2 linked regions of the Danio rerio genome follow. The protein of the gene in region 2 binds, or shares a complex with, the protein of the main gene of each other region. Links are inferred from orthologs where the notes say so. Each region holds a gene or a part of one and is shown on either strand. Other genes may lie near its edges.

The links.
Region 1: xab2 (region 2) and ppie share a complex: the UniProt entries of both Homo sapiens proteins name them as parts of the XAB2 complex. The link is inferred for Danio rerio from reciprocal best matches to the Homo sapiens genes XAB2 and PPIE.

Annotation. Positions count from the first base shown.
Region 1 is NC_133192.1:26,693,084-26,697,407, forward strand, and holds the start of ppie (peptidyl-prolyl cis-trans isomerase E), read right to left. Parts: upstream 2,914-4,324; 5' UTR 2,898-2,913; coding exon 2,867-2,897; intron 2,650-2,866; coding exon 2,551-2,649; intron 2,453-2,550; coding exon 2,409-2,452; intron 2,207-2,408; coding exon 2,180-2,206; intron 2,072-2,179; coding exon 1,990-2,071; intron 1,400-1,989; coding exon 1,296-1,399; intron 572-1,295; coding exon 448-571; intron 1-447. UniProt on the Homo sapiens protein: Involved in pre-mRNA splicing as component of the spliceosome. Combines RNA-binding and PPIase activities.
Region 2 is NC_133178.1:55,854,097-55,858,604, reverse strand, and holds the start of xab2 (pre-mRNA-splicing factor SYF1), read right to left. Parts: upstream 3,057-4,508; 5' UTR 2,953-3,056; coding exon 2,917-2,952; intron 978-2,916; coding exon 829-977; intron 746-828; coding exon 622-745; intron 1-621. UniProt on the Homo sapiens protein: Involved in pre-mRNA splicing as component of the spliceosome. Involved in transcription-coupled repair (TCR), transcription and pre-mRNA splicing.

The sequences.
Region 1 (4,324 bases), on a different chromosome or scaffold from region 2:
GTTGATGGGATAGAAGTAGGACCGAGTTTAAAAGGATAATGCTGTTATTTTCCTCCCTCTTTGGTCATCACAGATGACAACTAAAATGGTGGTCCTTAATGATTCATAAAATGTCAGTTAAAAAAATATCATGTGTGTATATATATATATATATATATATATATATATATATATATATATATATATATATATATATATATTATTTTTATATTTCTATTATACAGGCAAAGTAGATGTCATTATGTTGATTTGTAAGTGCTGTTGCTGCTCTCAAGGCATTGCATTTATAAATAGATTTGCATTATATGAATCACCATGGACAACTTTCTAGCATTTTTACTTTAGCTAGAATAGGTTCACCATGAATATATACATATAAAAAATTTGGTGAATTTTTATTCCATGCTGACTTTAAGCACACGCAGGAGATGGTTAAATATGTCTGACCTGCAGTCATAGGCACAACATCAGCTCGCAGAAGGAAGCGCAGTCGGCCTGCAGGTTTGTTGCCAATCTTGATATCCATATAGACTTGAGGATTGGTTCTGCCTTTTTTTGCTGGAGGTTCTCCCTGTTCAGGAACATAAAATGCCAATCAGAGAGTATTTACAGGCATCAGAGGGCAATTCAACACCTTTTAAGACCTTTTTAAGACTCTTTCAATACATTTTAAGGCCTTGAAACCACTTTAGGTTTCAACTGGAAACACTGGCGAGATTTTAACTTATAGAATATTTACTGAATATTAATGTAAGAAACTAATCTAAAACTAAAACACTATTCATATACTGAATAAAAATTAATTTTATCTAATACAGCAGATTGACGCCAATAGAATTGCAGAAATAATGGTGTTGTCTTGGTTACTGCAGTAAACAAAATTGCATGATGTCAAATCTAGTAGGATTTCATAAACTACACAGCATCCTGATATTTGCAGATTTAATTCAGGCAAACTTTGGCATACAACCATACATTGCATAATCAACAATAATATAAAATATATTATTATTAAAAAATGTAATACCTTGCAAAACAGCAATTAAGAATATTTAATAACTTTTAAGGGCCTTAAATTTCTCTACATTAATTTACCAACTTTTAATACTTTAAGACCCCGCAGACAACCTTAATCATAGAGTAATAATGATAAAACTAATTTAAAATGGAGCATTAGACTTTGAAAAAAATACATATATAAACAGTAAAATCAAAATGACAATGTTAAGTTATTACTATTATTTTATTTACCATCCAAAAAATAAATAAATAAACCAATACTGTAACTTTCGGACCTCTTGTGTCTCTGTACTTGCTGATTCTGCAGCTGACTCGGCCTCTTCACTCTCCTCTGCTTTCTTCCCCGAGAACTTCTTCAGCCAGTCATCGTCAGACCACACTATAGGCAGAACAGCATAATTTACTTTATGCAAGTGTATTAATTTAGAGTGGCAATCCCAGAATAAAGGTGTTAGGGGCCATTCACTTTTGACATCTTTTGCACGTGCAAGTTTGTTATTCTCTGTTCAACCGAAACAACGATGGTGAAAGCACACAAGATGATGTTATCTTAGCATTTCATCTTAGCATATCACTCAAGTTGTTGCATGTTTTCCAGTCATTTTTAGGATTGATTTGTTATTTAGAATAATAACTGTATAATAATAGTAATAACACATACTGCTACGAGTAAAGACAAAAACACTAAAGAGCCTGCTTTTTATAATTCAAACTTATATGTAATTTAACTGAAAATTTGAAAGCAAACTACATTTTAATGAGCTATATCATTGTAACAGATGTTTTCTGATGTTTTTGTTTACAGCATCAATACCTTTTAGCTTAGTTTTGTTTATATATATTCTTATGAACTCAGCTTTAGGTATGGGTGTAAACAGCATATATTTATAAAGTACAAATCAGAAGTTGGCAGTGAGTATGTGTCAAGACATTAAACAGAAAAATCAACCACAATCAATTTTCCATCACCTGGGCGAGAGGAGCCCTCTTTAATTCTCATGGGTTTGGCGATGTTCACCCTGATGGTTCTGCCAAACAGCTCAGACTCGTTCTGAAAAACACATTACCAAATGCATAAAAACCTCCACTCTGCACATCCTGATAGTGTTGAACTTTATAAATCCACAGAATTCAGTAAATTCAAATTCGATGAACTCACCATGTTATCAATAGCAGCTGCTGAATCCTAGAGGGGAAAAGACAGAACTTTAATTAAGTGACAAATTGATACCAAAGCTTCTAATGCAGAGAAACAACAGTACAGTGTATAAAGTAGCAACACTGTTTGAATAAGTGAATCATAAAAAGCATCAAAGTTAATGTCACTTTGATGATGCACATTTCGCGTTATTTTAACTTAATTCAGTGTAGATGTATATGATATTCACCTCTGCCAGCTCGAACTCGATAAAAGCAAAGCCTCTGTGTTTCTCTGTTGGTAAAGACAGGATGTTAAAGTGGTAGTAAAAATCGGTCGTACGTTCACATGGTAAAGTTGTAAAGTAAATGTAACTTCTGTGTATTTGTCACCTGTCTCATAATCTAACGGGATCTGAATATCTGTAATGTCACCGAAAGGAATAAACGCAGCGTGCAGCACTTTCTCATCCACCTCCTCTGCAAGACCACCTAGAAAATAATAATAACGTTTCACTTAGTGCGATATGTCACTTTAAACGGACTGAGCGCTCAACTCTTGCTCATATTTCATGAATTGCTGCTTTCCCGGATACAACTAAAAACGTGTACTGCGTCGATAAAAATGTACGAGGCTAGAGGATTAAACTAGCCAACTGAACGAGCAAAACGTTTGTTAGTTAAATTAATAAATTTTATGTTTTCTTACCAACATAAAGAACACGTTTGCTGGCCGCCATCTTGCGTGTAACCTTTGACTTCAGGCTGTGTTCTTCACCACTGAGGTTTGGTATGTCGCCCTCTGGTGAACTGGAGTAAAATCTGATTGACATTTTGACACTCTGGATTCATTATGTACTTCGGGGGCGCCACAGTGGAGAAAAAAGGTCGCTGGTTTGAGCCTTAGCTGGGTCAGTTTGGAGTTTGAATGTTCTCCCTGTATTTGTGCTGCCCACACTTCTAACAACCGTCTTTTAAACAGACTAATGAATGCAAATAGGTTGAATGTGATGTACATATCAGTTATGTATATTTGTGCATAGTTGTAATTAAAATATACATTTTTAAATTGTGCTTTCTGCTTGTACTAATGCAACACGTACATTTCTATCACAAATAAAAAAAGAGTTTAATTATTTAATCACTATTGTGAATTGGCATGAAAAGCAGTCCAATATTTAACGCAAAGGTACTGCATTTTTGTGAATCAGTTAATTAAATAGTACTATCATGATTTATAAAGTTTCTATTGTGATATTACTAAAGTTGCCATTGAAAGAAAATCTGGATATACATATGCATAATTGAATAGGCCTAATAATAAGTTTAATGCATGGAAATAACATACTGTGTGAGCCTCAAACACCTCATTCTCATGTAAATCCAGGGTAAAAAAAAAAAAAAAAAACAGAAAAATAAGCAAATCAGAGAATAACACTGACAGTTACCTCAGGAATATTTGATCGCTACAGACCCTGATAGAAACTTCTGTTTAGAATTCTGAAATGCGTGGCACTGAGCAGTTTCTGGTGTGCGACCTGCTTTAGATAGTATCTATTTACAGCTTGTCTAAACATAAAATTCAGGAAAAATAGAATATGTTTAATCTGCTGTTGAACTGTATCTTTTGTTGGTTTAGTGTAAATTATATTCACTTTGCTGTTTATGTTTGTAATGAGGCAACAGACACATGTAAACTATTGAATTAGCATTTAATGCCCATTTATGCCTAACTCGGGAGCAGTAATGGACAGATAGATCATCACTTGCTCCTAATGCGGACCTCTTCTTCTCAACTTGTAATTTGACAAGCTCTCTACTAAATTTGTTTAAATATTGTTTTTGACGACTTAATGATTATTTTGCACATTTGTATTTCAGAGTACATCACACTGTGTGAGCATCAGAGACATAAGCGTCATATTCACAAAATAAGGTAAAAACAGCTTTTCATTCATTAATTTTCTCTTCAGCTTCGCCCCATTATTAATTAGGGGTCGCCACAGGTGAATGAACCCCCAACTTATCCAGCATATGTTTTACGCAGTGGATGCCCTTCCAGCTGCAACCCAGTGCTGGAAAACACTCATTCACACTTATACACTACAGTCAATTTAGTTTATTCAATTCACCTATAGCGCATTTCTTTGGCCGGTTAGAAATTTAG
Region 2 (4,508 bases):
AAATACAAGCATTCAGATTAAAGTGCAATTCAAAGGCTTAATAAAGGTAATTAAGCAGGTCATTGTATAACAATAGTTTCTTCTGCAGACAATCAAAAAATATATTGCTCAAGGGGGCTAATAATATTGACCTTAAAATGGGTTTCAAAATATTTAAACCTGCTTTTATTCTAGCTAAAATAAAATAAATAAGCCTAGAAGAAAAAATATTATAGGAAATACTGTTAAACTTCCTTGCTCTGTTAAACATCATTTGAGAAATATTTATTAAAAAAAAAAAAAAACATATTCCCAGGAGCGCTAATAATTTTGACTTCAACAGTAATCGTTTTAAATAATCGTGATCACAATTATGACCAAAATAATCGTAATTATGATTTTTCCGAAAATCGAGCAGCCCTACTTTTCACCTACTTTTTTTTAATACTATGAATTTGGACATATTACTCGGCTCACATACTGTTTTTAGCGAACTATATAGTAGGTAAGTAAGCGATTTCAGCCACAGATCTAGTCTTATGCCATAAAACATGTGCATCACTCTTTATTCAAAAATATGTAAATATAGCACATTTTACAACTAACAGAAACCCTGTGTAAGAATTAAGAGATCAACTTTACCTTATGCATAAACACAAGCGCTCTCTCGTGACAGTTGTTCACCTCCTCGTATCCAGGATCCGTGATGCACTTTCCTTTCACCTGTTTTCTCCTCTCTCTCAGGTAGTTGTACCACAATTTGTAACTGCAAGAAACCATGTAGATATTTAGGATTTAAAGCACACAGGTTTCAGTGTAAAAGGAAATGACATGATGACATGTACGCACCTGCCAGGCAACTCCTTTAAAGCTCTTTCATAGATCATGTTGAGCACAGATTTCTGTGCACTTTGCTTGTGCTCAATGTAACGCATCCAGCACTTGACTGAATATGGATTCCTGATGATTTCTTCCTCATAAGGCAAATCATCATCTTCCTGCAAAACAAACATGCCTCTGTGATTAAGATTCACGAACACTGATGAAAGCTAGCTCCAACGTTAGATTATTGAGTTAGTGAGTAACATTTATAGAGGTAAAGTTGTTTTTTAATAGCACATTCGTACAGTGAAAGTGACATGCTCCCTTACCCTGCTACTTTAAATATTAGGTCTGAGATCACCTGCAAGTAAGACTTGAAAACAACATTAGAGCTATTTCTTTCACTGTGAACAGTGTTGTAATTTGACAGTCATGGGTTGCTAATATGATTTTGCTTTATAATCTGCACATTATACTTTTTAAAGTTATATTATTTATATTTTATTACAGCTTTTCTCAGTGGCTTTGGTGCATTTCTCACAACACTATTTACATTTGCACAACAAGTAATGCATTTCTCAAAACAATTAGTCATTTGTGCACATCCTAGTAGCAGTTTCTCATTCCCTCCAACAAATTGCAAATGCTTTTGAACATGCATCAATTGCTTTCATACAATGCTCTGCTGTTTATAACATTATTATTTGTTTATGTCAGTCAAAATTAACTAAACTTGTGAATTCTGAATAGTCATTCCATATTAAACTAATAGTCCTCATTTCATCACTTGAGTCATTACATACACAAATGTTGAACTAGCTGTCAAAATCTGTCGAGCAAATTTTGTAAAAAATGTAAAATCTTTTTTTTTCCTGAAAATGTCTTATAAATTGAACAATTTCATGACTGATTTACAGACCTGTGTATGTTGCAGGTAAATATGTTGTGCAATATTGTTTACAGTTGTGCACAGCTCTATCCAAAGGAAGTTTATGTTTGTTGTAAATAAGGGTGTATTTATTCTTTTGCACAATGCTTTGAATAAATTAGAATGGCAAAGAGCAAATGCAGTAAAAATGTGAAACATACATATTCAGTGTCTTGTACTCAGATAGCTCACTAAATGCAGTGTTGTCTAACTTTACTGGTTTTCAAATGGCTGTGCAAATAGTATATACTGCTGTCTTGAGCATTTACAGAAAGTGTCACCAAATTCTGCCTATTTAGCATTGAAAAAAATTAATAATTCATAATGAAAACAAGACAAAGCCATTTGACTATATTGTTCATAAACAATGGTGTCAAGACTTCTCATTTTGATGATACTGACACTTTCATTGACGTGAATACTTGCTTTTGAGGAATGAACTATCCATTTTGAGCAAGTGACACGCTTTTGCAGGTTATCTTAGGTTTTGCAGTTTGTACTAATTGTTTTGAGATGTGTATTAACTGGTGTTCAAATGTAAATAGTGTTGTGAGAAATGCACCAAAGCTACTGAGGAAAAACTGTAAGGAGAAAGTCAGAATGTGCGAATATAGACAATTTTGAGTGACGTAAACGATAACAGTTGGTTCTAATTTTCATAGCTTTCAAGAAGGTTTACATATTAATAAATAATGTTATGATAGCTGTTTTAACATTAAGTTATGATTGAATTGCCTCCTGTTACAGCTATGAAATAGTTTGACAACAGGAAATGTTCATGGGCCAATGATGTCGCCTCATTGAAAACAAAAACTTTACCTCAATGTAACATTTAGGTGAAAGAAACAGAAATATTTAGTACAGGTTTTTAAAATGTTAATTTTAAATGTTATTTTCTGACACTTAGTAACTGACTAAACAATGATAATAACTTAAAATTAAAGTAAACCTATGCTAACTACTGTTATTCACTTTAAATAAATTATTATTATATGTGAGAGGTGAATTAATGCACAGGACACAACAATTCATTTTGACAGGTAATAATCATATGTGGAATTTATTAGTATTATTAAAAATACTTGTGTGTATCTTATTCAGCTGTAGTTAGCGAGCTAATCACAGCTAGCTACGAAAAGATTGAGAACACTAACAAAACTGACTTTAAAAATAGCTCAGATACATACGAATAAAACGTCCGCCTTTCCGCTTAGCGATGGCATTTTCCCTTGCCTGAATATATCCTCGTTATAAAACTAGAAACTTGTGTTATTGTCAAAAAATACAAACACTTTCCCAACGTGTGGGGATCGTAGAGCACAATAGCCCCGCCTTTTCTGAGTGTACTCGATTCCTATTGGCTGACTTCTCCCATTGCACTACGGTGGCTCAGGAGGCTTTTCTGTTAAAGAGGTGTTTCTCGGTCTGAAGGCGTTTTAATGGAAGAAACCCTGAATAAACGATTTTGGGAGGCAAGAATCGTTTGTTAATCTAAAGAATTAGTCCACTGAGATAGTTTTTGTTGAAGCATCTTTTATGAAAGCAGTTGTGAAATATAAGTACTCGTAATTGTATTGAATGTAAAATCGTGCATACATCAAATACTAAAGGGGTAGTTCACCTAAAAATCCAAAGTAACTCACTTGCGTCCTTAGAAGTTCAGACTTGGAAGAACGAACACCCGAGGACGCAAGTCGGGTACTTCTTCAAATATAACAGCAGTGTACTCTATAACATCACTTACCTAACCATGGATTCATCGGTTTCACTGTACATCAAAAATAAAATGACTAAATTACATGAAGCACGGCCCAGTAATTAATAATATATTAATATTATAAATCTACATTTTTGATTTAAGAAAATGTAAACATACATTATATAAATGTGAAGTAAAATGTGGTTTTATACTTAGACACGTGTCTTTGATTATCATATTTAATGGACATTATACAAGTATAAAGTACAAGACGTACACAATAAGAAATAAATATAACGCTAAGCAATTTGGTAAACAAAGACAAACAGTGTACAACACAGTAACGATTAAAGGGTCATGACTCCTTTCGGTTCAGGTCTGCCTCAGAATTTTTCCAAAAATGCATCATAATGGGCGTGGAGCTCCGCGATCAGAGGCAGGAATGGGCGTGGCCAGCAGAGCAGGGGAGAAAGAGGGGAGCGAACAACTGTTGTCAGTTGGCTCACAAAATGAGACACAAACCTTGAGAAGACTAATGATTTTATAGTTTACAAAGTTAAAATGCAAACAAATAAACAGTAATTTAATACCCTGCTACATTTGTCATTTGTAATTTAAAATACACAACCACAATTTATATTATTGTAAAGATAATCGTGTTATATAAACACTTTGAGGTGAGGACTTTTCCATAAATCCCCAGGTCTGAATGCAGACTCAGTGCAGCAGGTCTCTTGCCCTGCCTATTTCAATCATTAGCCCTGCTGGTAATCTGGATGGATTTAGGCAAAAACAGTAGCACGGCGATGTGTCTAAATGTGAACAAACTTCTGATAAAAGACGACATCCGCCATTCTCCAGTTCTCGTACTGCTCTCCTGACAAAAATGCTTACTGCACACAAACAACTTTGCTGTATCGGCCCTGACAGCATCACGGGGAAAAACATGCAACAAACCCCATGGATCATCGAAACAAACACATACGGCCCTTCATGAACAGCTAAATACTGTGTGCCGTGGGTCAGTGGAAGCTGTTTAACCCAGTCATCAAGGTAGGATCTCACAGCTTGGCACTGGCA